Macaca fascicularis: one gene and its partners. The protein of the gene in region 6 purifies or fractionates together with the protein of the main gene of each other region. This does not show direct contact. Links are inferred from orthologs where the notes say so. Each region holds a gene or a part of one and is shown on either strand. Other genes may lie near its edges. The genes, in order: SIRT1, EHMT2, PARP1, MTA2, SNAI1, DNMT1 and EZH2.

Evidence for each region.
Region 1: the proteins of DNMT1 (region 6) and SIRT1 purify together in Homo sapiens (affinity purification with western blotting; 3 studies listed by BioGRID and IntAct, with this or other methods). This does not show direct contact. The link is inferred for Macaca fascicularis from reciprocal best matches to the Homo sapiens genes DNMT1 and SIRT1.
Region 2: the proteins of DNMT1 (region 6) and EHMT2 purify together in Homo sapiens (affinity purification with western blotting; 3 studies listed by BioGRID, with this or other methods). This does not show direct contact. The link is inferred for Macaca fascicularis from reciprocal best matches to the Homo sapiens genes DNMT1 and EHMT2.
Region 3: the proteins of DNMT1 (region 6) and PARP1 purify together in Homo sapiens (affinity purification with western blotting; 4 studies listed by BioGRID and IntAct, with this or other methods). This does not show direct contact. The link is inferred for Macaca fascicularis from reciprocal best matches to the Homo sapiens genes DNMT1 and PARP1.
Region 4: the proteins of DNMT1 (region 6) and MTA2 purify together in Homo sapiens (affinity purification with western blotting; 3 studies listed by BioGRID and IntAct, with this or other methods). This does not show direct contact. The link is inferred for Macaca fascicularis from reciprocal best matches to the Homo sapiens genes DNMT1 and MTA2.
Region 5: the proteins of DNMT1 (region 6) and SNAI1 purify together in Homo sapiens (affinity purification with mass spectrometry; 3 studies listed by BioGRID, with this or other methods). This does not show direct contact. The link is inferred for Macaca fascicularis from reciprocal best matches to the Homo sapiens genes DNMT1 and SNAI1.
Region 7: the proteins of DNMT1 (region 6) and EZH2 purify together in Homo sapiens (affinity purification with western blotting; 6 studies listed by BioGRID and IntAct, with this or other methods). This does not show direct contact. The link is inferred for Macaca fascicularis from reciprocal best matches to the Homo sapiens genes DNMT1 and EZH2.

The regions. Positions count from the first base shown.
Region 1 is NC_088383.1:78,656,578-78,660,339, reverse strand, and holds part of SIRT1 (NAD-dependent protein deacetylase sirtuin-1), read left to right. Parts: intron 1-408; coding exon 409-556; intron 557-1,639; coding exon 1,640-1,719; intron 1,720-2,864; coding exon 2,865-3,051; intron 3,052-3,762. UniProt on the Homo sapiens protein: NAD-dependent protein deacetylase that links transcriptional regulation directly to intracellular energetics and participates in the coordination of several separated cellular functions such as cell cycle, response to DNA damage, metabolism, apoptosis and autophagy.
Region 2 is NC_088378.1:139,822,782-139,826,543, forward strand, and holds part of EHMT2 (histone-lysine N-methyltransferase EHMT2), read left to right. Parts: coding exon 1-15; intron 16-101; coding exon 102-337; intron 338-416; coding exon 417-599; intron 600-718; coding exon 719-801; intron 802-1,275; coding exon 1,276-1,382; intron 1,383-1,479; coding exon 1,480-1,602; intron 1,603-1,692; coding exon 1,693-1,794; intron 1,795-2,617; exon of another isoform or gene 2,618-2,875; intron 2,876-2,997; exon of another isoform or gene 2,998-3,118; coding exon 3,119-3,244; intron 3,245-3,335; coding exon 3,336-3,490; intron 3,491-3,575; coding exon 3,576-3,743; intron 3,744-3,762. UniProt on the Homo sapiens protein: Histone methyltransferase that specifically mono- and dimethylates 'Lys-9' of histone H3 (H3K9me1 and H3K9me2, respectively) in euchromatin.
Region 3 is NC_088375.1:84,282,984-84,286,745, forward strand, and holds part of PARP1 (poly [ADP-ribose] polymerase 1), read right to left. Parts: intron 1,897-3,762; coding exon 1,774-1,896; intron 1,185-1,773; coding exon 1,056-1,184; intron 1-1,055. UniProt on the Homo sapiens protein: Poly-ADP-ribosyltransferase that mediates poly-ADP-ribosylation of proteins and plays a key role in DNA repair.
Region 4 is NC_088388.1:11,464,321-11,467,807, reverse strand, and holds the end of MTA2 (metastasis-associated protein MTA2), read right to left. Parts: intron 3,407-3,487; coding exon 3,309-3,406; intron 3,191-3,308; coding exon 3,051-3,190; intron 2,791-3,050; coding exon 2,562-2,790; intron 2,369-2,561; coding exon 2,279-2,368; intron 1,927-2,278; coding exon 1,808-1,926; intron 1,700-1,807; coding exon 1,551-1,699; intron 1,327-1,550; coding exon 1,161-1,326; 3' UTR 518-1,160; downstream 1-517. UniProt on the Homo sapiens protein: May function as a transcriptional coregulator. Acts as a component of the histone deacetylase NuRD complex which participates in the remodeling of chromatin.
Region 5 is NC_088384.1:106,067,389-106,071,687, reverse strand, and holds the start of SNAI1 (zinc finger protein SNAI1), read right to left. Parts: upstream 2,915-4,299; 5' UTR 2,835-2,914; coding exon 2,753-2,834; intron 2,062-2,752; coding exon 1,534-2,061; intron 1-1,533. UniProt on the Homo sapiens protein: Involved in induction of the epithelial to mesenchymal transition (EMT), formation and maintenance of embryonic mesoderm, growth arrest, survival and cell migration.
Region 6 is NC_088393.1:10,739,980-10,744,470, forward strand, and holds the start of DNMT1 (DNA (cytosine-5)-methyltransferase 1), read right to left. Parts: upstream 2,942-4,491; 5' UTR 2,918-2,941; coding exon 2,418-2,917; intron 1-2,417. UniProt on the Homo sapiens protein: Methylates CpG residues. Preferentially methylates hemimethylated DNA. Associates with DNA replication sites in S phase maintaining the methylation pattern in the newly synthesized strand, that is essential for epigenetic inheritance.
Region 7 is NC_088377.1:190,462,522-190,466,891, forward strand, and holds the end of EZH2 (histone-lysine N-methyltransferase EZH2), read right to left. Parts: intron 3,594-4,370; coding exon 3,512-3,593; intron 2,614-3,511; coding exon 2,533-2,613; intron 2,379-2,532; coding exon 2,294-2,378; intron 888-2,293; coding exon 827-887; 3' UTR 563-826; downstream 1-562. UniProt on the Homo sapiens protein: Polycomb group (PcG) protein. Catalytic subunit of the PRC2/EED-EZH2 complex, which methylates 'Lys-9' (H3K9me) and 'Lys-27' (H3K27me) of histone H3, leading to transcriptional repression of the affected target gene.

The DNA of each region.
Region 1 (3,762 bases), on a different chromosome or scaffold from region 6:
GTATTGACAGTGCTTTTTTAAAAATCACCCTACCTTGATACCTGTAATTTTAAAGTTTCCCATTTTTCTTTAAAGAAAAAAATCTGAATTTGCAGCCAACAAAAATTAGATATCCTAAGGTTGTGTTACTTCTGACTTTTATTAAAATATCAACATTTATTAGAGATATTTATGGGCTGACTTTGTCTTTTTCTTCAAGGGGCCAAGTTCACTAATTGCTGAGTTTTATACATGACAGCAACAGTCCTTTTGTAGGTGTGTGTTGCATCCATCTAGATACTTTAAAATGCTCATCTATTTCATTTTTAAAATTATATGTGGGGGATTATCGGTAGTTTTTTGTTAAACATATGACATCTGTAGTTTATTTCACTAATGTAAATTTTTTCTACCTTTTACTTGATATAGGAAATATATCCTGGACAATTCCAACCATCTCTCTGTCACAAATTCATAGCCTTGTCAGATAAGGAAGGAAAACTACTTCGCAACTATACCCAGAACATAGACACGCTGGAACAGGTTGCGGGAATCCAGAGGATAATTCAGTGTCATGGTTAGTAAACTTCAGAATGGTTTTCTGTAATTTATTTTAGTTTTATAGGAGGATTTTTCCTCTAAAGCAGACTGCCATTGAGAAGTGGAGATAAAGCATTATTTAATCATGTTATCTCGTTAATTATAGATAACCTCCGAAAAGTAGAAAAGTAGAAAACAAAAATAATAAAAACAGTTAATTATATAAAACCTCAAATATTAATTTGCTTTTGATTTCAAAAGATGCTGCAGTTGCATGCATTCAATTATTTTAAATAATCTTTTCTGGCTGGGTGTGGTGACTCACGCCTGTAATCCTAGCACTTTGGGAAGCTGAAGCGGGCGGATCACATGAGGCCAGGAGTTCGAGAACAGCCTGGCCAACATGGTGAAACCCTGGCTCTACTAAAAATACAAAAATTAGCCGGGCATGGTGGCGTACCTGTTATCCCAGCCACTTAGGAGGCTGAGGCATGAGAATCACTTGAACTTGGGAGTTGGAGGTTGCAGTGAGCCAAGATTGCACCATTGCGCTCCAGCCTGGGAGACAGAGAGTGAGACTCTGTCCAAAAAAAAAAAAAAAAACTGATTACAAGAGTAATGTTAGCTATTAATGAAGAAATGTGACATCTTTAGTTTATGAAACTAAAAGAACTGGATAGTTGAGATGTACAGAATTCAGAGATTCAGAAATGTTTAATGTAAAACAAGTATGAACACGCCATTAGGTATCTAAAGTGTTTCTAAGAACTGCTGAACTAAGGTAATAGAATTGGAACTGTTCAACTCTGCAGGATTTTAGCTCTGCAGGAGCGAGTTATTACAGTTTTGTTCAAAAGAGTAGCTTTAGAAGGCATCATTATTGTCTCAGCGATTGAGAATTGTGTTCATTCTATGTATAAATAAATATATAAATTATTCATCCCCTAGATTCTCCTGTAGTGTATCACAAAATCTGCAGTGTGTTCTGAGGTTTAAAATCAAAGTTAAAAATCTTTAAACCCTGTTAACATTTCTGATGTCAAACTTTATAACATTCGTGGTGTGTTCAAGAAACAGAAATACTTCATTAATAAAGCACATATATGTTGGTTGTTTTTAGGTTCCTTTGCAACAGCATCTTGCCTGATTTGTAAATACAAAGTTGACTGTGAAGCTGTACGAGGAGATATTTTTAATCAGGTAATTTGTTTCCCGTATTTTAGGAATTGTGCATGTCTCTGAAGTATTTCTTCTTTTGCCTCAAAATCCTTTTTTTACCCTTAAAGGTATACGTGATACAGAAATATTCAGGAAGAAAATAGTAATTGGGAATTTTGGTAAAATATACAAGAACCTTTCAATACCTTATATAGAAAACAGCCCTATAAAGTCTGTTAAAATTATGAAATTGGCTTCTTAGTATCTAAGCCGAACCTAAAACATCAGATCATAAGCAAGTTGTTGTTGTTGTAGTTTTTCTCCTTCCTCTTTTTGTGCCTGTCAGATTTGAACCTTAAATTAGTTGTGGTAATCTTTTAAAATTATTTCATACATGTTCATTGCCAAAAAATATAGGAAAATGTAGCAGAAAATAAAAATTATCCAGAAATATGTCCTGTGTGCTTAGCAATATATAGAGTTAATTATATTATTATGAAAGAGGAAGAATAGTATATTAAAATGGAATCATTGTTCGGGTGCAGTGGCTCATGCTTGTAATCCCAGCACTTTGGGAGGCTGAGGTGGGTGGATCATTTGAGGTCAGAAGTTCAAGACCAGCCTGGCCAACATGGCAAAACCCCGTCTCTCCTAAAAATACGAAAATTAGCCTGGCATGGTGGCATATGCCTTTAATCTCAGCTACTTGGGAGGCTGAGGCAGGAGAATCATTTGAACTCAGGAGGTGGAGGTTGTAGTGAGTTGAGATCATGCCACTGCACTCCAGCCTGGGCAACAGAATGAGACTCCATCTCAAATAAATAAAATGGAGTCATTTTGTTTTACAAATGTGTATTTTTCTTTTAAAGGATCAATTCCCATTTTGTGTATATACACACATTGTGTTTTTCCTCTTATATGATGGACTCTTCAATGTCAAGTGTTTTTCTATATAGATATTATAACAAGAGCATAGTATTTCACTGTTTCATAGTATGTTAATAAACTACCCATCATTGACGTTTAGATTGTTACCCAGTTGCTGTTTATCTATAGCTTTTCTGTTTTTTTTTTTTTTTTTTTTAATAATTCTGAAATGTATTCTTAGAGGTATGGAAATGTTGACTATTTCTAACTTGAGCTTACTGTTTGCTTCTCTGTCTCAACCAAAATCTGAAAATTCGTAGGTAGTTCCTCGATGTCCTAGGTGCCCAGCTGATGAACCGCTTGCTATCATGAAACCAGAGATTGTGTTTTTTGGTGAAAATTTACCAGAACAGTTTCATAGAGCCATGAAGTATGACAAAGATGAAGTTGACCTCCTCATTGTTATTGGGTCTTCCCTCAAAGTAAGACCGGTAGCACTAATTCCAAGTAAGTTGGTGATGGCTTTTGGAGATCATTTCTATATATAATGTCATGGGTTGTGGATCTGTATAATAGACCCTAACTCTAGTAATCTTACTCTGCTTCTGTTTGAAAGAGTGGTGAAGAGCTAATTTTCGAAATTGTTTGTTTATTTATTGAGATGGAGTTTCCCTCTTATTGCCCAGGCTGGAGTGCGGTGGCGTGATCTCAGCTCACTGCAACCTCCGCCTCCTGGGTTCAAGCGATCCTCCTGCCTCAGCCTCCTGAGTAGCTGGGATTACAGTTGTCCACCAACATGCCTGGCTAACTTTTTATATTTTTAGTAGAGACCGGGTTTCGCCATGTTGGCCAGGCTGGTCTCGAACTCCTGAGCTCAGGTGATCCACCCGTCTTGGCATCCCAAAGTGCTGGGATTACAGGCATGAGCCACCATGCCCGGCCAGAAATTGTTTATTTATAGTAGAGATGAGGTCCTGTTGTGTTGCCCAGGCTGGATTTGAACTCCTGGGCTCAAGGATCCTCCTGCCTCAGCCCCTTGAGTAGCTAGGATTACAGGCACAAGCCTCCACATCTGGCTCAACTATTTTTTATGTGGCATTGTTGTTCATTGAGACTGGTGAATCTGACATTTTGATGGGGTGTGGAGGGTTGTCAAAACACAAGTAACGTTAGTGACTCATGCCTGTAATCTCAGCACTTTGGGAGGCCGAGGTGTGT
Region 2 (3,762 bases), on a different chromosome or scaffold from region 6:
TACTTCTGCACGGCGGTGAGTGACCAGTGGGGCAGACAGGTAGAATGCCCCATGGCAGACGGGGCCCCGGCAACCTGACCATGTCGTTTCCCTGCTCCCAGGGCACCTTCCTGGAATGCCACCCTGACTTCCGTGTGGCCCACCGCTTCCACAAGGCCTGTGTGTCTCAGCTGAATGGGATGGTCTTCTGTCCCCACTGTGGGGAGGATGCTTCTGAAGCTCAAGAAGTGACCATCCCCCGGGGTGATGGGGTGACCCCACCGGCTGGTGCTGCAGCTCCTGCACCCCCACCCCTGTCCCAGGATGCCCCCGGGAGAGCAGACACTTCTCAGCCCAGGTACTGGCCTCCCCCTTCTCTACTGTCTGTTCCCTGCCCCATCACTATTGTTCCTGGACATGAGCTCCTTCTTCCACAGCGCCCGGATGCGAGGGCATGGGGAGCCCCGGCGCCCACCCTGCGATCCCCTGGCTGACACCATCGACAGCTCAGGGCCCTCCCTGACCCTGCCCAATGGGGGCTGCCTTTCAGCCGTGGGGCTGCCACTGGGGCCAGGCCGGGAGGCCTTGGAAAAGGCCCTGGTCATCCAGGAGTCAGAGAGGTGAGTGGGGAGTTGTTCAGGCACAGTAACTGGGGCTGAGGCCAGAGGAGCAGTGTCAAGACTGATGCTGGAATCTGAGGAGCTCCCCTTCTCTCCCCACTCCCGTGCTCCCTTGGCAGGCGGAAGAAGCTCCGTTTCCACCCTCGGCAGTTGTACCTGTCCGTGAAGCAGGGCGAGCTGCAGAAGGTGATCCTGATGCTGTGTGAGTGCCACCTATTCCTTCAGCAGACCTTGACCAAGTTCCATGTATATACCAGGCACTGGGCACAGGGCCAGGAGTAGTCATGAAGGATATAGTCCTTGCCCTGAAGGACTTAGTGTGGTGGGGAAAAGACACACATAACCCGTGACGATGGGAACGGTGGTGACTCATAGGTGCTGGGTCCTGTTCTGAGTGCTTATACTTGTTAGCCTTGGCTTGCACAGGGAGGTTAGGGACGTTGCACAGTGCACAGCGGTACTGAGAAGCAAGGCAGGGTTTGAATTCAGGCAGAGCTGATGCCTTTGACTCCTTATTCTGATAAATGCCGTGGTGGAGGCAAGCCCAGAGAATGCCAGGAGGGGCCCTGACCCAACTTGGGGCTCTGAGAAGCCTTCCTGAAAGAAGTGCCACCTGCCCCCTAGCTTGCTTACCACTTGTCCCTCCCTCTCCCGGTGTGGCGGGCTCTCCCCGCAGTGGACAACCTGGACCCCAACTTCCAGAGCGACCAGCAGAGCAAGCGCACGCCCCTGCATGCAGCCGCCCAGAAGGGCTCCGTGGAGATCTGCCATGTGCTGCTGCAGGTCAGCACGGGCCCGGCCCCATGCCTCATTCACCAGGCCCTTAGGCCCCTCCCCTGCCCCATGCCTCCCTGGTGCCAGCCCTCCTGCCCCCTCACAGGCTGGAGCCAACATAAACGCAGTGGACAAACAGCAGCGGACGCCACTGATGGAGGCCGTGGTGAACAACCACCTGGAGGTGGCCCGTTACATGGTGCAGCGTGGTGGCTGTGTCTATAGCAAGGTGTGCATGCAGGCAGCAGGGCGTGGCCCCGGAGTCAGGGACCAGGTTTGGGGTGCCAGCCGGAGACTCATTTGCCCATGTCTCCCTCAGGAGGAGGACGGCTCCACCTGCCTCCACCACGCAGCCAAAATCGGGAACTTGGAGATGGTCAGTCTGCTGCTGAGCACAGGACAGGTGGACGTCAACGCCCAGGTCAGTGGCCCACCCAGCGCAGCTCCTCCGGCTCCCTGGTGCCTGGGTTCCTTGGCTCGGCCTCAGACTTTGGGCCCCCTTTCTACATCTGACCTCTGGCCCTTTCACTCTGCCTCAGGCCGCTTGTGTCTGTCCCCCTTGCTTTCTTCCTCATTTGTATTTCTCTTCATTCTTTTCTTTTTCTTGTTTCTTTCTCTTGATCAAGCTTCAGAATAATCAGTTCCTGCCTTCATCTCTGAAAGTGTCCAGTGAGGCTTTTTTAACTCTCAGGTTGTCATACATTGGATGTGTTTTCGTCATTTATTGGGATTCTTCTCAGTCTTTGAATTATTCCATCATTATCTAGGAGAAGCCCCTTCAAGAGGCCTCTGTGGCCGTGACATGACCCAGTGGCCTTTGAGAGCGTCCTGACCTTTCAGCACATTTCCTGCCCCTGACTCAGCATCCACCATTTCTCTAAGAAACTCTGCTTCCTTTATGGGAAACTTTTTTTTTCTTTTCTTTTTTTTTTTTTTTGAGATGGAGTCTTGCTCTGTTGCCCAGGCTGGAGTGCAATTGCGTGATCTTGGCTCACTGCAACCTCCACCTCCTGGGTTCAAGTGATTCTCTTGCCTCAGCCTCCTGAGTAGCTGGGATTATAGGCACCAGCCACCGTGCCCAGCTAATTTTTGTATTTTTAGTAGAGATGGATTTTCACCATATTGGCCAGGCTGATCTTGAACTCCTGACCTCATGATCCACCCACCTCGGCCTCCCAGCGTGCTGGGATTACAGGCGTGATCTGGCCACTGCGCCGGCCAGAAACATGTTTTAGAGAATAGTCTATGGACCTCGGAGTGTTTATTATTACTGGGTGGTCACTGCTTCTAGGACTTGTGAATGGGCAGACTGAGGAAATTTTTGTTTGTTTTTTGTTTTAAGAGACAGAGTCTTGCTGTGTCACCCAGGCTGAAGTACAGTAGCAATTCACAGACAGTCATAGTTCACTGCATTCTCGAAATCCTGGGCTCAAGCGACACTCCCATCTCAGTCACATGAGTAGCTGGGACTACAGGCACGCGCCTCCATGACCAGCTCCTGGCTGTATTTTTTGGAAAGAGAACAATTACTCACTTTACTTTCTCTCCGGCATCAGGCAGTAGGCACTACTAGTCCCATTTTTTAGATGAAGAAACTATGACCCAGAGACGTTAAGTGACTTACCCCGGGTCCCACAGCTCGTGAATGGTGGAGCTGGGATTCACACACACAGCCAATCTTGACCATTTGCAGCTTTGGTGAGCAGGCCCAGCCGCCCCCACCCTCACTCCCTTCCCACCCACAGGACAGTGGGGGGTGGACGCCCATCATCTGGGCTGCAGAGCACAAGCACATCGAGGTGATCCGCATGCTACTGACGCGGGGCGCCGACGTCACCCTCACTGACAACGTGAGTGAGAGTTTGGTTGAGGTAGGGCAGCCCCAGGCCCCTGAGCAAGGTGGAGGCTGGATTCAAGGGCCCAGCTGCCTGCACCTCATCTGTTCCCCTCCTATCTCCACAGGAGGAGAACATCTGCCTGCACTGGGCCTCCTTCACGGGCAGCGCCGCCATCGCCGAAGTCCTTCTGAATGCGCGCTGCGACCTCCATGCTGTCAACTACCATGGGGACACCCCCCTGCACATCGCAGCCCGGGAGAGCTACCATGACTGCGTGCTGTGAGCCCCTGCCCCGCCCTTGATGCCCCTGCCCCCACTTCTTGCAGCCTCAGACCCCACATTGGGCACCTTGTCCCCTCTTCAGGTTATTCCTGTCACGTGGGGCCAACCCTGAGCTGCGGAACAAGGAGGGGGACACAGCATGGGACCTGACTCCCGAGCGCTCCGACGTGTGGTTTGCGCTTCAGCTCAACCGCAAGCTCCGACTCGGGGTGGGAAATCGGGCCATCCGCACGGAGAAGATCATCTGCCGGTGAGCCCTGGGCCCCTCT
Region 3 (3,762 bases), on a different chromosome or scaffold from region 6:
AGCATGAGTTAAAACACAATGGGCCAGAGGAAGTCACAGCTATGATGTGCAATTAAAATTATCCCTGGCTCAGTGCACAAGCCTAACAAGCAGCTGTCAAATAGCTGACGTAATCTATGCTAAGTAAACCTGAGTATTATAGATGAGACTAGTTATGTTTTATTTTCATATTTATATTCAAAGTTCAGAAAACCTAGGAATGCTGGTCTACCTCACTGTCTTTTAATTAAAAGTCTTCAGAATTGTAAACAGAGAATAAGAATCCCTTCACAAAGAACCACCCCCACAGTTTTCCCATCAGGAAGGTGCTCTAGGGGCAAAATAAGTGACATGTGGCGTCTTACCTGCTTGGACTCACAGATCTACACTTTGTCCTAGGAAAGGAGCAAAGGCTCTTTCTTTAGTGATGTAAACACCTGGTACCAGACTCAACACACTAGCCCACCTGAACCCCTGCAACACTGCAGGGAATGGGCTGAGGACAATGGGGCACATGAGCGTGGAGATAGGCTCAAGGACAGGGCCATCTAGAAGCTGAGGCAAAAATCCCTCCTCTGTTGGTCTAAGCAGGGTGTTCAGAGACTGTGTGTGCCAACACAGGCCACTTTAGCTCCAGAGAAAAATGAACCCAAGCACTGTGTTTTTATTAGAGCTGCCATCAAGCATTTCCACTTCTGAAATGGACATCGGTAATAAGCCCTCTAAAAGTTCACACCACAAGGGTTTAGAAAAACAGAGTTCCTCTCTAGATTAAGGAGGGGGAAAAAAAAAAGAACTTTTGGTAAGACCCTCAAAAATCAATTTGTATGCCAAGCTGAGGTGCTGGCTTGGAAGGCTGCCTTGCAAGCAAGGTGCATTATCTACATGTGAAATGCCCAGAGGTTCTCAAAGGACCACCAGCAGCAATGTCCGGGAACTTGTTAGAAAAGTAAATTACTGGGCACCAGCCATCTGTGTTTTAACAAGCTTTCCAGGAGATCCTAACACACATGCAAGTATGGGACCGCTGCTCTCAGGATGAGGTTAAATGTTTGAGGAAGGCCTGACCCTGTTACCTTAATGTCAGTTTTGAGCTTCTCATAGTTGACATCGATGGGGTCCTTGCTGCTATCATCAGACCCTCCCCTGAGCAGACTGTAGGCCACCTCGATGTCTAGCAGGTTGTCAAGCATTTCCACCTTGGCCTGGAGGAGCAAAAGCAAGCCCCTGACTTAGGTATCATGGTGAGTGAGACAGACTCACCCAGGTGGCAGAGAAAACCTACATGCAGAGAACGTTCAACACAGTGAAGGGCAAACCTTCCTGCTGGTCAGGGCCAGCCTGTTACCTGCTGCACACAGTGAGCTCTCCTAAGGACTTCCTGGAATGCTAACAAGGCCTTGCGGCCTGGGGGAGTTGAGAGGTGGAAGAACTGTCTTTCCTCTCATACAAGCTGACATTTGGGACCTATAATGAAGGTACTTCAGACAAATGTTTCCTGAGCCAGGAGCTCTCTTAAAAGGCAGAGAGGGAAAATGGGGAGGAAGACGTTGTTATGAGGGAGAGGCTCTCCCTCTCCAACAGCTCTTTCCCCAGTGGATTTGGTGGAACAGAGGCAGGAAAAATGGCTCTGCCTCCATCAGTGTGGGTAGAAACCCAACTTCAAAACAAGGGCAAGGAGGTGGCCCTCCCAGCATCGGCGCTGCCCTCGGGGATCATGACGGGGAGGGACGGTTGCAAGGGAGTCACACCCTCGCCCAGCAGACCTGCAGTCCCTTCTGAACCCTTGTGTACCTGCACACTGTCTGCACTGTTCAGGAGCGGAGGCTTCTTCATCCCAAAGTCATGGGGGATCAGGGTGTAAAAGCGATTTGAGAGATCCAGGATCTGAGAGTCGCTGCTGCCCTGAGACACTGCCTGGAGACGAGGGGACAGAAGGAACACAAGACTGACGAAGCAGCTCCGAGCCCCCGGCCAGGCTTTCTCTTCTAGCAGGTGGGTGCTGCAGCAGGTCCAGAAGTAGCGTGGTATGTGCACATGCCAGGATGCATGGGAAACGACCAGAAGACCACCTTCCTGTTAAAGCTACACCACTGAGCAGCACAGGACCCCCATCCTCTAAAAGCACTGCTCAACACAATGGGCTTCTCCCATGAACTTTCATTTGTACAAAGAACTGTGCAGTTACAGACATCTGAAACCCCGCCACAACTATGCAAAATGTTAACTGTAAAATCTAGGTGGTGGGCTCATGACTACTGCTGTAAAATTTCTTCAACTTTTTGTATGTTTGAAACATTTTCATAATAAAATGTTGGGAGGAAGTTGCCCATTGCTATAAAATTCAGTCAGGCTCCTTGTCTCCACTGACCTTCATTGGCATTAGTTTTTACTGTACCCGGAGGTTGAAGTGGCCAGGCACAGAAAGGCTAAGCAACCCTTACACTTACTGCCAGTGTCACTTGGTGCTCTATATGTAAAGGGTGTGCAAAAAATGCACAGAGATGAAGAGTGGGGCCATTGGGATTCCAGGAATTTGGCAGACAGCCTAGGTGACCACAAGAAGGTCAAGGGGGTATCAAGTGGCACCCAGCAGGTCTGAAGCCCCACGCCTGCTTCTTGCTGTAACATGGACTTCACCAAGTCGTACAACTTCCATCTGTGCTGCCCAGGTGGCTCTGGAAATGGGTAAGGATGCTATTCCAGCTCTTCTACCTGAAGACTATGGCATGGGAAGAAGCAGGGGCTGAGGAAAGCCTTGCAAGTTCTCAGTCAGTGAGGAATAAGGAGAGACGTTCACTGCTCAGAGCCAGCTGTAACTGGAGTTGACAGATCCGGTTCAGGGCCTTTTCTCCAGCACCAGCCAGAAAGCCCGCTGCCTAGGCCCACTTCTGTTTCCCGTGTGCTTTCCTTCTTTCTATAGGCCAAGCCTGTATCCACCCACAAACATAAGCGGAACCCTCCAGCTTCTCCGGGATGTAGCTGGAAGGTTCCAGGACTGGGAGACCTTGAAAGATGCTTGAAGAATGTTGAAATAACATGAATGAAAGGTTTCCATCTGATGACTTCCTAGTAACTGCACAATAAACTCTGCCTAACTCTTAAGGACACATAAAATAAAAACCACAACGCAGGTGACCCTTGAACAATCGATTTGAAGTGTGCAGGTCCACTTATACACAGATGTTTTCAATAAATACAGTTAGCTCTCTACACCTGTGGGCTCTGCAGTTGAGAATTCAACCAAACTCAGATCAAAAATATATTATTCTCAGGCCAGGTGCGGTGGCTCATGCCTGTAATCCCAGCACTTTGGGAGGCTGAGGTGGGCGGATCACTTGAACCCAGGAGTTCGAGACCAGTCTGGCCAACATAGTGAAACCTCACCTCTACTAAAAACACAAAAAATTAGCTGGGCGTGGTGGCGCATGCTTGTAACCTCAGCTACTCGGCATGAGAATCGCTTGAACCTGGGGGCGGAGGTTGCAGTGAGCTGAGATTGTGCCACTGCACTCCAGCCTGGGGGACACAGCGAGACTCTGTCTCAAAAAAGAAAAAGAAAAGAAAAATTCCCCCTCCCACAAAAAAAATCTCAGGATGCGAGACCCACAGATGTGCAGGGCCAACTTTTCTCCTCCATGGGTTCTGCAGGGTGGACTGTAGGACTTGAGCATGAGTGAATTTTAGTGACCACAAGGGAGTCCTGGAACCAATCCTCGAGGATACAGAGGGATGCCTTTACTTTTAAGAGAGAGGGTAACCAACGTCTTCAAGTTTATAGGC
Region 4 (3,487 bases), on a different chromosome or scaffold from region 6:
CACATACACCCAGAGGTGCTCGAGTGGTTCAATGGTAGAATTCTCATCTGCCAAATACACCACACAGCTAGGTGAGGAGATCCTCCTATAACCCCATCACCACCACCAAGGTGGTATACATGTTACCCTGGCTGCCAGCAACTTCCAGAATTCCTTAAGTGAAAGGGAGAGGGGAGTAAGAGGTGGGAAACAGAGGAAGAAACACCCCCATTCTCCTTTCCTATGGAGGCCACCAGTCATCCAGAAAGCTCATCTCAACTCCTTTGAAGGAATCTGGGCCAAGATGGTGCTTGGGCTCCATCACCACTGGGAGCTGGGGAGCAGTTTGGATCCCACAAGAAGGCTAGCTGGAGCAAGCCGCCTCGGTCCAGGCTGCATATCTCATAAAGCTGTTCCCAAGGCAAGAACCATCTGTACCTCCTTTGTTGTCCTTTGTCCTTTATTTTCCCTGTCAAAGACACCCCCAACACACACACAACACACACCCATGGCAAAGAACAGCTGAGCCAGGAGAAGCTGAAGAAAACAGCTTTTTATTTGTTACTATAAGAACCAATTACAGAATCCGAGGTTAAAAAAACGGACAAAAGATCTTTATTTCTGAGAACTGGCGTACAAAAGGCGGAGGGGGAGGGGAGGGAAGGAAAGAGCGAGCATGGCCTGGGGTTGATGCCAGCTTAGGGGCCTCAAACTCCAATTAGGATAGTCCGGACACCGGACAGAAAGAGAAACCCCCAATTAGGAAAAAAAAAAAAAAGACATGGCAGTGCACGCCCCCCTCCCCCAACCAGGTACCACCACCTGTTATCTGTTTACTCTTCCCCTCCCCATCCCCTTTCACAAAGGGAGGCAAAATTTTTAAAAAATTAAAAAACCCTCCCCCCAAAACTGTCCAAGACATCTGTGGGTCCTACCCCCCAAAACAGGCTAGGTTCCCACATGGGCCAAGTTCCTGCAGTCTGTCCTCCATCAGCAAGCATGGAGGCATGAGACAAGTCTCGAGGTTGTAACACCAGAGGGCGCCCAACCCCTCCAGGGACGCACACTCACTTGCTCTCTTCCTTACTCCTCACTCCCTTTGACACGAAAGGGAAGGGAGGTTTGGGTGCCCTGGGCATCCACCCTCTACCTCTCAGCCCACCTCCCTCCCCCACAGGTGCTCAATCCTCCAGGACAATAGGCTCATTAGTGCTGGCAGGATGTGAGGGTGCAGGTAGAGGGACAGGGGGCCGCACTGCCATCAGCGTTGGCTTCACCTTCAGGGGCAAGTTGGGTCGGCGAGCAGCTCGCCGCATTTCCAGATGGGTCAGAGCCTTCCGTAGGGCCCTGGCCAGAAAGAGCAAGTGAGAAACAGAAAAGGCTTAGAGAACACTAAGCCCTCCAGGTGAAGCCCCACATTCCACACTGCAATTCTGCCTTCTGGCCCATTCTTTTCTGGCATCCCCACCCTGCATCCACAACCTTCCTAGAGCTCTTGCTCTGAAACTCCTACTCCCCACACTCACAGCCTGGACTGTCCCTCTCAGCCCCTCCCATGGTAGACTCCCTACCTGGTATCCTTTGTGGCCACAAACACCACAGGATTGGGGGCATCAGCAGGGTTTAGTTTCTGACGCTTGGCGGCTGGCTGTGAGCTTGAACGAATCCCTGAAGCCAGAGGCCTTCCATTGGCAGAGAAAGGAACCCCTGCCCCTGCCATCTGGAAAAGAGGCAGGATGGCACAATGAGGGAAGGGACCCTCTCAGACTCCTATGAGAAACAAAAGCCCACCCAACTCAGCTTGGCCCACCCCTTTCTGTCAACTCACAGTCTCATAGGCCCGTTTCACCATAATGCCCCCCAGTCCCCGGTTCTGGGACAGCTGGTTTCTGTTGATCGGTGTCTTGGTACCCCGAGGTGTTTTTGGTTTCAGGGGTGCCTGGGCCACTGGAAAAAAAGTAATAGAAAACTTTCACACCTTTTCTTCCCTACACAGTTCCCCTTTGTTACTTCCATCTCTTCCCCTGGACCAGCAGTTTACCTGGGCATCCCCAAAAGTAGCAATGGGGTAAGGTTCTGGCAAGCTATCACTAGTATTTCAAATATCAGTATGACCTTATCAAATCAGTACAGTAACACTGAATAGTTTACAAAAAAAATTATTAAACAACAAAAGTACAGTTTGTTAGACTAAATCTCTGAGGACACTATGGGGAAGAAGAAAACAAGGGGAGAGAAGATGTTGGACAGGGAACGGACTGGGAGCCTGATGCCACCCTCACTGGTCCTCATCCCATACCCAGATCTTTGACGATAGTTGCCAGGGGCAGCCGCACCAGAGGGTGAATCTTCAATGGAGTCTTGGCGGCCTTAGGAAGTCGAATGGAGCCTGCAGAACAAAGATGAAAGCTTCTGAAGGGCTTCACCATTCAGGTCTCCTCTGAGGCCAGAAGCCAAGTCTAATCTTTAAAAAATTACCTGTGGCCTACTATGCCTCCTGTTATTAAACATCCAGAGAAACAATCGTCTCTGGGCAGAGCAACCCTAAACCCACCACCAGCCCCATCACTCCCTGTCCTTACACTCTGCTTTGATGGCATTGGCATTGATAGGAGCATACGGCCGTCGGGCAGCCCTCCTCGGCTGTAATAGGTCCCTGCACATGCGTCTGGCAAGACGGGTCAGTTTCGTGGTCTGAAGCAGGAAAGTTTGCCTGTTCTTAGCCAGTAGCTTGGCCCGGTTGGCGCTGGTTGTATAAGGGGAGAGACTTTGAGCTTCAGGTCTGGACAAATGACCCCTCGAGTGTGGCTCCTAGAAGAAGAGCATAGGAAAGAGAGAGAGCAGAAATCAGCATTGAGGCTCCCTTCTTTCTTCCATTCCCTGCAGAAGACAATTTATTCCTGCCTAATCTCTTTACTGACCTCTTGGCCTATATGTCTCCCCAACCAGCATCAAGCACCCCCTGCCCATCAAACCATCACCATATAAAGAGTTGGATATTCTGGCCCTCACCTAAGCTCACATCAATATGCTTACTGCTCTCCCCTGCTTTTACCCCCACTGATCCTTACCGTGGTACCCCGAGTGGCTCCCTCAAGCTGAGTTGGGGTCTTCAGTCCCCCATATTTCTTCCAGTAGATCCAACAGGAAGCACAGAGGCGGCACTGCATGTTAGGTGGGCCCCAGGCATACCACTGAGCAGACTGTGTGGCTGCAGAGCATGGAGAGGAGGGGGACAGGGAAGAAGCATGCTACCTGAGCCCCACAGATTCTTGAGCCACAGCAGGCCTTCCACCCATCCCCACCATCCCAGTGCCCCCATAACTCACTGTGGCAACTCTCACAAGTCAGGCCCTTCTGAAATCCAGCCCCATTCATGCCAGGTTTTGAACCCACAGAAATGATCTGGTTAGGGTTTGGCTTAGTGCTAATGGGGAAGGCGAGGAGAAGGGAAAAAACCAAGAAACTGGTCAAGGAAAAGAATCAATTTCCACTCTCAATGTGACCC
Region 5 (4,299 bases), on a different chromosome or scaffold from region 6:
TAATGTCCGGATGGGAGGCGAGAGAGGCAGGCAGGAGAGCAGCATCCTGAGGGGTTCAAATCTCCCAAAATAGAGCCCTGTGAGCTGGGCAGGCACGGGGAGCCCAGCAGTTGGACCTTTACATGTTAAAATCAGGGCTACTGGTGCAGGAAGGAAAAGAAATGGGTAGCCTTAGTCGAATAAGATGCCAATAAAGCCCGCGAAATGCCAGTCCTCCCAGATACCTCACTGACCCTCACTGCTCAGAGGTCAGGCGCCGGGCCAGGAATGGTAGAACCTGGCCAGCTTGAACCCTGTGGAATCTTCTCCCTCAACTGTCCCTCTCCAAAGAGCAGCTCCAGGCACAGTGGCTGCCACCGTTCAAGTTCTAAAAAGTTCTACCTTTTCTCCATGTCCAGAAAGTTTTCTACATATTTAGTAAATTTTCGAAAGACGTGATTGTGTTTTCTGCCCTAAAATTGCTGTTTTCTGGTGTGTGTGCTAGGATTGAGTGGGGGTGGGGAAGCCGACCTGAGAACTATTCGGGTATAATAAATTACTATAAAGTGATTAGCCACCTTTACAGCCACTCTCTTTTTTTTTTTTTTTTTTTGAGACGGAGTCTCGCTCTGTCGCCCAGGCTGGAGTGCAGTGGCCGCATCTCAGCTCCGCCTCCCGGGTCTACGCCATTCTCCTGCCTCAGCCTCCCGAGTAGCTGGGACTACAGGCGCCTGCCACCTCACCCGGCTAGTTTTTTGTATTTTTTTTAGTAGAGACGGGGTTTCACCATGTTAGCCAGGCTGGTCTCGATCTCCTGACCTTGTGATCCGCCCGTCTCGGCCTCCCAAAGTGCTGGGATTACAGGCTTGAGCCACTGCGCCCGGCCTACAGCCACTCTCTAAAACATATGCCATCATAATTCTCCCGAGTCTCAGAGAGGTTAAGTTGCTTGCCCAAAGTCACACAGCAGGGAAGCAGAGCAAATGCCAAGGAACCATTTTTGTGACAGTTTAGCAGGTACCCGGCACTTTGCCAGGTGATTCCCATATGCATTCCTGCATTTAGCCCGTACAGAAACCCCACAAGCTGTTCTCATGCCCATCTGAAAGATAGAGAAAATGAGGCTCACAGAAGTGAAACATCAGCCTAAGCTTTGAGAAAGTTCTCAAAGGATTCAGAGCCAGGTGGGGGGTCTGACAACATCCTGTCTGGCTAGGGAGGGGGCGGACCGGGAGAGGGTGGGGCTGGGTGGGCCCCTTCACACCTGTGGCCCCCAGAGCAAGGTGTTGGTTGCACTTTTCCGATATCCAGCTCCAGCCCATTTGGCTGAGAAACAGGCTGCAGGGATTGGGAAGGTGTCTGCTTTGCTCATCTGCTTAGCTGATGAAGGAACGTTTCTGCCAAACATTTCCAGAGAGCAGGCCCCTGAACTTGAGCTAGAAGTTAGGAGACTCGGGGCCTCAGTGTCCACAACTTTGCGAATGAGAACAGCAAGTCCCAATTCACAAAGCTGCCACAGAAAGCAACGGTGGGGGCGCCTGGAGGGGCACTTACCAGTGTGGGTCCGGACATGGCCTTGTAGCAGCCAGGGCCTGGAGAAGGCCTTCCCGCAGGTTCCGCAGACGCAGGGCAGCGTGTGGCTTCGGATGTGCATCTTGAGGGCACCCAGGCTGAGGTATTCCTTGTTGCAGTATTTGCAGTTGAAGGCCTTTCGAGACTGGAGATCCTTGGCCTCAGAGAGCTGGGCCAGCTGCTTGGGCACTTGGCCCAAGCCTGGGAAGGCAGCATAGGCCTCAGCCTCCAAGGAAGAGGCTGAAGTAGAGGAGAAGGACGAAGTAGCCGGTGAGGGTGGGCTGGGAGGCTGGGAGCCTTTCCCACTGTCCTCGTCCGACAGGGAGGTCAGCTCTGCCGCCCTGGGACTCTCCTGGGGCCGAAGGGAGGCCCAGGCAATTGGCTGGGCTTGGGGCGCCAGGACAGAGTCCCAGATGAGCATTGGCAGCGAGGCGGTGGGATTGAGGATCTCTGGAGGTGGGATGGCTGCCAGCAGGTGGGCCTGGTCGTAGGGCTGCTGGAAGGTAAACTCTGAGAGAGAAAAAGCAGAGTCAGGCGTTAATTAAATCATTCACTCAATCAACAAACATGAACCCACCGCTGGCCAGGGGCTGGGTAGGGCTGATTCTCAACACATAATTAGATCAAAAAAATGATCCACAGGACAGACCAGGTTCCTGCCCTCCTGGCCCAGGTCACCCAATCTGAGTCTCTCACAGGTAGGACCCCCAGTTGAAGGGGGTCATTTCCAGATCTCCCTCTCCTAAGTCCCAAGTCCCCAGCCTGAGGCCAGAACCCCATCACCCCAGCCCTGGAGCCACCACCCTGCCCCAATCCCCCTCCTCACACACATCTCGTCTCCCCACCCCTCCCCTCAACCCTCTGGACTCCGGACTCTCCCCAGCAGCGTCCAGAGGGCCTTCCTGACACAGGCCTCCTCTCCCACTCTCGCGGAGCTCCTCCGCCTCTCGCCGGCTACACAGGCCACCCAAGCACAAAACCCCTGCTCTCTACACAGCACTCCCCCAACCACCCAGACCGATCCCCAGGACTGGGGACCCACCTGCCCGGTCTCCCGAGCCCGAGCCCGAGCCCGCAATGCTCCACAAAACACCCTGTGACTCGATCCTGGCTCAGACAGGCCGCCTCCCTCAGGTGGCCCCCACGCAGCCTTCGCCTGTCTCCCCCAAACCTCCTGGAGCCCACCACCCCTCCAACACACCTGGATTAGAGTCCTGCAGCTCGCTGTAGTTAGGCTTCCGATTGGGGTCGGAGGGCTTTCTGACGAGGAAAGAGCGCGGCATGGTGGCCGAGGCACTGGGGTCGCCGAGTCGCGCAGGAGCAGCGCAAACGTACCACTCACAAGGCCGGACCGCGGCGCAATGAGAGCAGCCGCGCCGCCAACTCCCTTAAATACTCCAAGGGGGTGGGAGGGGAGGGGCCTCATCTGCCACGCCCCTTTGTCACCTCCGCGCCAATCGGAGGCCCGTCTCCGCCGAAGGCCACTCCCCGAGCAGGTGCGCCGGGGGCTGGCCGGGCTCGCGCCGCGTGGCGCTGGGAGCCCGGGCGGGGGCTCCTCCGAGGCGGAGTTCGCAGGCGCAGCGCGGGTCGTCCGTGGTGCTCGGACTGTCCGGGGCGGGACGTCGAGCGAAGCGAGGCCCCTGCGAGGTGGGACCCCGCCAGAACGCCGCGCGCCCACCTGCTCAGCGCCCCGTGGTCGGAGCGCTTCTGACGCCCCCTGGCGCTGCGCGCGGGCCGGGACACCTGACCTTCCGACGCCCGCCCCCGCCTCGGGCTTAGGAGGGGGCGGAAATTTCCTCCGCCCGGCTGGCGCCTGGAGAGCGTGGCATTGACGAGGGAAATGCACATTGCTGGGGAGGAAGCGAGGAAACGGACACCGCACGTGGCTCCTGGCGGCGTGAAATGCTACGGCCGTTTTGCAAAGCAGCCTGGCCCAGCTAGCGAAGAGCGCCCGTTCCTTCCCTTAGCCAGTGTTTGCGGAGGGCCCAGCTGTACCTGGGGCAGGGCACAGCCCCGGACAGGACATTCAAGGCCTCTCCCGAAGGGTAGCTCCCGGTCCAGTGGGGGAGACAGACGAAGTAAACAGACAATTACAATGCAAAGGGAAGTGTGCTTTGGCGGGGGAGAGACGGGACGCAGCGACCGTTAAGAGGCGGGTCACCTGACAGGGGGTCGGGGTGACTTCCCAGAGGAAGTGAAGAATTATCAAGGGAAAAGGCCCGAGGGAAGAAGTGGCAACTGCTTCAGAGTAACTCCTAGAGAGCAGCTCTCAGGGATGGCGTGGGGTGGGCAGGCCCGGAGGGGTCAGATGTGCTGTGCCCCAGGGCCTCGTAGGAGGTTGGACTTTGCCTCAAAGGCACTGGGGAGCCACCGAAGGATTTTCAGCTGACGAGGGACCTGGTTAGAGTTTCGTAGAAAAAGATCCTTGTAGGCCGGCGGGAGAAAGAAGGGATGGGCCGGGCGTGTCTCCTCACCCCTGTGAAGATCCTCGATCCTGTGTCTAAAGGCTCTAACGTTGCTCTGTAGGGGCCCTGACTGAATGCATGTGGGGTGGGCCCAGGTGAGGGGCAGCTGCACCCCCACCCCAGCTTCCCTGGGAGGCATACCAGGCCCGGGAGTAGCGCTGAAATAAACCTCACAGGTCTCACCGTTCTTGTTTCCACCTGTGAAGGAAGACTAGAAAAACCTATAAGCACCCCACACCACCACCAGCAACATGAAGGGCAGAACTACTGTCTGTTTTGGTCA
Region 6 (4,491 bases):
GAATAATGGCCGGGCCCAGTGGCTCACGCCTGTAATATCAGCCCTTTGGGAGGCCAAAGCAGAGGACTGCTTGAGCCCAGGAGTTCAAGACCAGCCTGGGCAACAAAGCAAGACCCTCATCTCTAAAAAAAAAAATTTTTTTTTTTTTTTGAGACAGAGTTTTGCTCCTGTTGCCCAGGCTGGAGTGCAATGGCGCAATCTCGGCTCGCTGCAACCTCCACCTCCTCCGTTCAAGCCTCCTGGGTTCAAGCGATTATCCTGCCTCAGCCTCCTGAGTAGCTGGGTTTACAGGTGCCCACCACCATACCTGGCTAATTTTTTTTTTTAGTAGAGATGGGGATTCACCACGTTGGCCAGGCTAGTCTCAAACTCCTGACCTCAGGTGATCCACCCATCTTGACCTCCCAAAGTGCGGGGATTACAGGCGTGAGCCACTGAGCCCGGCCTTCTAAAAATTTTTTTTAAGGATTAGCTGGGCATGGTGGCATGTGCCAGCTACTCAGGAGGCTAAGGCAAGAGGACTGCTTGAGCTCATGGGTTTGAGGCTGCAGTAAGCCATGACTATGCCACTGCATTCCAGCCTGGGTGACACAGTGAGATCCCGTGTCTTAAAAGAAAAAACTTAAAAAACAAGCTAAGTTAGCCACTAGCATATGAACCTTTATGTGCCATGCATATTCTCATTTAACCCAATACCACCTGAAAACACATGTCATTATTCCTAGACTATGGATATAGAGGTGGCATATGCTTGTTTAAGATCATCGAGCCAGTGGAGGCCATGTTTTCAAGAAGGCTGGGCAGGCCAGGTACAGTGGCTCACACCTGTAATCCCAACACTTTGGGAAGCTGAGGCAGGAGGATCGCTTGAGGCCAGGAATTGAAGACCAGCCTGAGCAACATGGCAAGACTCCGTCTCTACAAAATTAAAAAAAGGAATAAAAAAGGAAGGCCGGGCCCAAACTTCTCTGAATTGGGTCTAACATCATGAAGCCAGGTACTTTTGTAACTTCACTTCCATTCCATTTTAAATCAAGTTTTATCTTGGGAGGATACTGGTACAGATGATTCAAGAAGGTATATACCCACTAACTGGTTAAGAAGTGGTTTGACTATAATCCCAGCACTTTGGGAGGCTGAGGCGGGTGGATCACTTGAGGTCAGGAGTTCGAGACCAGCCTGGCCAACATGGAGAAACCCCAACTCTACTGAAAACACAAAAATTAGCCAGGCATGGTGGTGGGCACCTGTAATCCCAGCTACTCAGGAGGCTGAGGCAGGAGAATCACTTGAACCCCGGAAGTGGAGGTTGCAATGAGCTGAGATCACGCCACTGCATTCCAGCCTGGGTGACAGAGCAAGACTCCATCTCAAAATAAAAAAGTTGTAGTTAAGGCATGGTGGCTCATACCTGTAACCCTAACCTTTGGGACACAGAGGCAGGAGGACTGCTTAAGGGCAGGGGTTTAAGACCAACCTGGGCAATATGGTGAAACCTCATGTATACAGAAAAAACTAAAAGTCAGTTGGGCATGGTGGTGGTCGCCTATGGTCCCAGCTACTCAGGAGGCTGAGGATCCCTTGAGCCCAGCAGTTCAAGGCTACAGTGTGTTATAATTGTGCCAGGGCACTCCAGCCTGGACAACAGAGTGAGACTCATCTCTAAAAATAAAATTGTTGTTGTTGTTGTTTTTGTTTGTTTGTTTGTTTTGAGACAGGGTCTCACTCTGTCACCCAGGCTGGAGTGCAGTACCACGATCTCGGCTCACTATATACAGCCTCAATCTCTGGGGCTCAAGTGATACTCCCACCTTAGTCTCTTGAGTAGCTGGGACTCCAGGTACATGGCACTACTCCTGGCTAATTTTTGTATTTTTAGTAGAGATGGGGTTTTGCCATGTTGCCCAGGCTGGTCTCAAACCCCTGGTTCAAGAGATTCATCCGCCACTGCCTCCCAAATTGCTGGGATTACAGGCGTAAGCCACAGCACCCAGCCTTCAAAAAAAAAGTAGGGGGTCGAACCAAATATCCATCCCTCCCCAAAGGCCCAACCAGGCCAGTTAACAAGCCCAAGGAAATAGAAAAATGGCAGAGTGCTTTCACAGATTCAGCTGGAAGTGTCCAGGCCTGGTGAGGGTTCCTATGCCTCATGCACACCTCCCTTGAACAAGTTGTTAGGAATGAATAGATGGCGTTCATGGACAAGGGGCTGGGACCACTGCTCCCACTGATCCTGTGCACGGAAGTCGGACAGAGGCATGAATTGCTAAAGCCAGGGCCTCCAACATTAGACACACACACTAAAGAACACACCCACGAACACACGCAAACACACACGAAAGTGTAGCCAGTTCTCAATAGCAAGACTTCCCTGATGCCCACGGCTCACAGGCACAGATTTACAGGAAAAGACCAACCATGGAGCCTTCACGCTTCCCGGGCCCTGCGCGGCATTGCACGGTTCAAGTTCCTGCCAAAACACAGACTTTCCCAAGGAGCAAGGAACACACAGTCCCAAGTGACAGAATGAGTTCCCCCTACGGAAGGCTGGGCTCTCAAACATGAGCCAGCCCAGCCCGGGCCCCGACCGGTGACGTCCGTCTCTGGAGGCCGCCATCGGGATGCACAGCTTTGGGGGAAAGGCACTGAGGGACCCCCCACCAGAGAAGCACCACCGGGGACCGGGCCGGACACCGGAAGTGGAGGCCGAAGTGCCGGTGCCCGAGGGGTGTCCGTTGGCCGCGGGCTGCCCACTTCCTGTGCTACCAAGCTGGAGGCAGGAGCCCGGCCCACCGCTGCTTGGAGAAGGGGACCCCGGAGACGAACCCAAAGCTTGCTGTATTTGGGGATCAAAAGAGAACCCCCACCCCGCCCAGTTTCTAGCCACCAGGGAGCTACGGGGGAATCCACAGCCCATTTTGGCGCCAAACAGCCCGGGCACGCGCGACCGGAAGTGCCACCCTGCCCGCGCCAACTGCCGCTGCGCGCCGCACCACCCCACGCATGCGCGCCCGTCTGTCAGCAGCGGCCACTGGCCACCCCGAGGGGAAGCGACCCCCCACCCAGCGCCCTGCCTGGCCCCCCGAGTCCACGTTCCCCCCACGGTACCTACCGCCTGCGGACATCGTCGGGCAGTGAGATGGCCGGGACGGCCAGTGTGGGCACCCGGGCTGGGGCGGTACGCGCCGGCATCTCGGAGGCTGCAGCAGACGCGACGGCGGCAGCGCAGGCGCCCCGGCTTTTCGCGCGGAAACCGATGGGGAGGGGCGATGAGCGGAGGCGGCGTCTACCACCCCAGTCCGGGCGCGGGGAGGGGGGAGCGGATGTACCAAAAGGAAAGAGGCGATACCCTGTGCAGAAGGATGGAACGGAGCAGGCCATGCCCAGGGACCACGCATGCGCGAGGCGGTCACGCACCCCCGCGCGGAGCAGTGGGCTCGTCCAAGCTCCACGGTTTGCTGGGAGGTGGGCACCGTGCCCGAGGCATTCATTCATTCATTCTTTCAGGTGTGATGGGGATAAAGCAGCAAGAAGTCCCCAAGGGCTTGTGAGAGCCCTTGAGTAAAGTCCTCAGTTCCAATTCAACCTCCATCTATTTGCTGGCTGTACGACCTTGGATGGGTCACTAGGACTCAGCCTCTGTGTCCTCGTCTGTAAAACGGGGTAATTGCACCTACTCTAGAAAATCTTGAGTATGCACAGAATTTGTAGCTAGTACCAAGAATCTCACAGTGTATAGAGACCCGTGCCACTTCTATACCCAGTGTGTGTGGGGTTTTTTGTTCCCCTTTTTAAGCACCACGTGGCTTATGCCTGTCATCCCAGTACTTTGGAAGGCCAGGGCAGGAGGATCGCCTCCTGGTTTAAGAGAAACCACATCTCTTAAAAGAAAAAAAGGAAAACAAAAATTAGCTAGGCGTAGTGGCGTGTGCCTGTAGTATAACTACTCTAGAGGTTGAGGCAGGAAGATCGCTTGAACCAGTGAGGCAGAGGTTATAGTGAGCCATGATTGCGCCACTGCATTCCAGCCTGGGAGACAGAGCAAGACCGTGTCTCAAAAAAATAAAAATAAAAAGTAAAAATAAATTAAGAAGCACTATGCCAGGCGCAGTGGCTCATGCCTGTAATCCCAGTGCTTTGAGAGGCCCAGGTGGGAGGATCGCTTGAGGTTAGGAGTGCAAGACCAGCCTGAGCAACATAGGGATACCCCATCTCTACAAAAAATACAAAGATTCGCTGGGCATGGTGACATACACCTGTAATCCTACCTACTCAGGAGGCTGAGGTGGGAGGATGGCTTGAGCCCTGGCAGTATAGGCTGCAGTGAGCTATGATTGGGCCGCTGGACTCCTGCCTGGGCGACGGGGTAAGACCTTGTCTCACTCTGTCACGCCGGCTGGAGTGCAGTGGTGAGATCTTGGCTCACTGCAACCTCTGCCTGCCAGGTTCAAGCGATTCTCATGCCTCAGCCTCCCTAGTAGGCTGGGATTA
Region 7 (4,370 bases), on a different chromosome or scaffold from region 6:
TACCGGGGGAGGGTGCAGAGAAATTCCCCCAAATTCTGAGACCGACCACATGGTAAGGCATGCAAGGCACATGTTGTTTCCTTGATGCTTAGAGTTTGTGATTTTTACCTCTTCTTTGAGAAGATATAAAACTAGTTTGGTTATACCTGTCAGTAGGTAGGTAAGGAATCCCAACTTATATTGTATTTCTAAAGAACTCTATCTAGACTAACGGCATTTAGAACTAGGTGAGTTCTTAAAAATAAGCTAAGTCTACTCTGTCAGTTTATATATGGGGAACAGACTTGGAGGTTAAATCACTTTCTCCAGTTTGCACAGCTGACTGGAACGTACCCACCCACCCTGGTCTTGTCTATAAAATCAAGCCCTTTACTGGGTCAGCCCTCAGGATGCACAGCAGTTCTTCATATATGAATGTCTTCCACATATTACCAGGCAGTATTAGTTAAAATCAAGATTCATACAAAGACAACTAAAAAACTCAAGGAGGTAAATTTAAAAGTTTTTTGTTGGGCAGTACTAAAAGCAGTTATTGACATGTTATGAGAGATGACTCAACAAGGACAAGTTCAAGTATTCTTTATTCAAAGTTGAAAAATGTACCATACTGCATTATTGCAAAAATTCACTGGTACAAAACACTTTGCAGCTGGTGAGAAGGCAATAAAAAGTTGATTTTTAAACTCATTACTATAAATTATTCTTACAGTACTTTGCAAATTCAGAATTTCAAACTGCATTTTCTTTTTCTAAATTGCCCACAGTACTCGAGGTTCCTGAAGCTAAGGCAGCTGTTTCAGAGAGGAGGGGGAGGAGGTAGCAGATGTCAAGGGATTTCCATTTCTCTTTCGATGCCGACATACTTCAGGGCATCAGCCTGGCTGTATCTGAAACAACAGGAAGAAGCAGAAGTCCGCTGGATGACCACCCATCCAACATGTGCTGAGACTTACTTAACACAACAAAGCCTGCTGAAGACAGTGGGTGCATTAAAATGTCTTAAAACAAAACAAAACAAAACAAAAAACCATCCAATTATACAGCTGCCTGCATAAGGGCACACTCGTAGAAGGCAATGCGTAGGTCTGTGTTGCTGGCCATCTAAGTGAGACGCTGCCAAGTTCTGAACTGAACAAACCTGTCTACAAGCATTTCCAGAGCTTGCCCAGCCTCCCCTATGCCTCTGAAGCAAGTGGCCCCAGGAAGGCTGGTCCACATCATGATGTTTAGGTCCGACGGTGGAAAGGCAAAATAAAACCATGGTCTGGAAAAAAACGATGACCATGGCAAAGAGGGCCAAAGAGCAGCCCGCCAGTTGTTCCCCCAGGTGAAGAAAGAACTGGAGTACAGTGGACACCCAGAAATAGTGGGTGGGGCCACCAGGCCCTCCCAAGGAAACTGGATGGCTTTGCCTCCAACCCCAGCTCCACCCCACACTCTTCATTCAGAGCCGGCCTGGAATGAAGGCAGCGGCCCTCAGTAAAGTAGGCCTTTCACTCAGACCCTGTCTGCCTCACTGAGAGCTCTCGGCTATGCAACAGCCATTAAAGGCCAGCCTGAATATTCAAGAACTCAGTACTCAAAGACAGCTTCTGGATGGGATGTACATGGGACCACAGGAGTTCATTAACTAGACAGTCATCTGACTGCACCTAAATCTGTATTCAATGGATGACTTAAATGTATCCCACAGAGCTTGACTGTGTCAACTGGCAGCCTAATGCCTAACCACACAGATACCATCGGTGGCCCACATGTCCCAGGCATCCCCACAGGGTGACCAGACAGTGATTTGCCAACAGCACCTTTTAAAATGGTAATGATACGTGTAATAAGTATTATAGCAAACAATAAATTAAGTAGATCTAATCAGTAAAGATATACATAGTATATTGTCAAGTAAAACCATGTTGCAGAAAAATCTATAGGACAGTGTGATCACACTTATCTGGAAAAACGCTCCACAAGCAAGCATGCAGCATGCGGCATGATATGAGAAGGTCTAGGACTCACCCAGCTGTCAACAGCAGGGTGAGAAACGGGGCTTTCTGCATGGATTTGATTCTATTTTTAAAATAAGCATGACTTTTATAATAAATAAATGGATCGTGAATACATAACAGGAAAGTATAACCTAATTCCCCACTAATGCTCAAGGCAAAGTGACCCGTCAAAACAACTCACCCCCACCCCTCAGCACATCTAGCAAAGAACTAAAAAAATCCTTCGCCCAGCGTTCACGATCCAGTAGAAAAAGCCCTTAGAGATCATGTTAGAAATGTACTTTACCAACCTGTAATCAAAAAACAGCTCTTCACCAGTCTGGATGGCTCTCTTGGCAAAAATACCTATCCTGTGATCGCCGTTAACCATCATAACTGGAAAGAGACACACTGGTGTCAGTGAGCATGAAGACAGGCCACGGGAGGTTAACTGACTTGTTCACATAACAAACAACTATCCCAGAAGTATTCAAGTCCATCATCACAGGATTAAAAAGGGAGTTCCAATTCTGACGTCAAAGATACCTACCTTTTGCATAGCAGTTTGGATTTACCGAATGATTTGCAAAACGAATTTTGTTACCCTTGCGGGTTGCATCCACCACAAAATCTAAAAAGAGGAAAATGAGCCCAGTGAATAATTTCAGTTATAAGTAAATCAAGTTATTATGATTCTGTAAATGCAACCGGTTATAGTTCTTCAGGGTTTGCCTGCAAAAGCAAATAAATCATTCAAGCAACTTCATTCAGTAAGAAATGACATTTGGAAGAACACACTATTGTTCCAGGTTAAAATTAATCACCTATAATTCAAGATGGTTATCTGACACAAAAGCTATTAATTATCAACTATAAACATACATTACTAAGCAAAATAAAAAAAAAATTAAAAAGAATCTGACAAAATTCTTCTGAACATCAATTCATTTAACATTAGTTTTTTTTATAATGTCTATAAAGCATTCCTAGAAAAAATCTATTCTACTTGTTCCAACTAAGAGTTTCTCTGAATATCTTACATGTTAAGCCAACCTCCCACCAGAACAATCCCACCAGAAATATCCCTACAGACTTACATTCTACCCCAGAACATCAGCTATGAAAGCAACTGCCTTTCCTCCCAGTCCTTTGAGAATATCCAGGGGAGTCTGGCTCCTCCCCTCCTTCCCAGCTCCGAGGCACTGACTGCAGGAGGTGAGCTGAGCTGCCTGAACACAAGAGGTGAGGCAGCAAGAGCACAACATCCCCGTCACAGCCAGACACTGGTACAGCGCCACTCACAGATGGCCAGGGCTTCAGAGAGGCGGTTTCCTGCACACCTAGTCCATCTGCTCCCTGAGGAATTCCTTGCTCCAGTTCCTTTCAAGCAAGCAGCCCCCGATGCCTCTAAGGAGATCCTCCTTCTGGTCACCTCACTGACCTCCACCCTCGTTTCTGAACACTTGGCAGGCAGAAGGCTGCCACATGCAACTCAGAGGAACTCACTGCCTCCCAGCTCAGATACATACCATTGTTCAAGTTGAACAGAAAGCTGCACATGTATTTATCATATACTTTCCCTCTTCTGTCAGCTTCATCTTGAGAAATAATCTAAAAAGAAAGACACAAGAGAAAATTCTTTTGGATAAAGGTGATCAAGTCTGACAGCACATGCAAAAGCACACACAGTGAATACTGGACCTTCGGAAGAAAACAAAAAGGGTCACTACAGCCAAGTTCTCTTTCCCATTCAGTCTGCACACTGATAAATCTAAGAATAACTGTATATTAAGGACCCCAACTCAGAAATATTTCCACATCCTGAAGTAATTATCCTTGGAGAAAGTGAGGAACCAAAGTCTTCTCGCTGAGCTTAAAAAAAAAAAAAAAAAAACACACACACACACACACAAGTTGGCCGCAGTGGCTCACGCCTGTAATCCCAGCACTTTGGGAGGCTGAGGCAGGCAGATCACCTGAGGTCGGCAGTTCAGGACCAGCCTAACCAACATGGAGAAACCCCATCTCTACTAAAAACACAAAATCAGCTGAGCGTGGTGGCACATGCCTGTAATCCCAGCTACTCGGGAGGCTGAGGCAGGAGAATCGCTTGAACCTGGGAGGCGGAGGTTGCAGGGGGCCAAGATCGCACCATCGCACTCCATCCTGGGCAACAAGAGCGAAACTCCATCTCAAAAAAAAAAATTGGGGTGAGTTGGTTCCAAATTGAAGCTAGCCCTATGATTTTTCGGTAACTCAACAATTTAGAAGGTGAATAACTAATGACACTGTTGTTTCTACATCCTTATCAACCAGGTTGTGGATTAAGCAGGACACTCTATGGTAAAGCTCCTGTTCTCCCTGCTGACCATAGATGAGAAAAGCTGA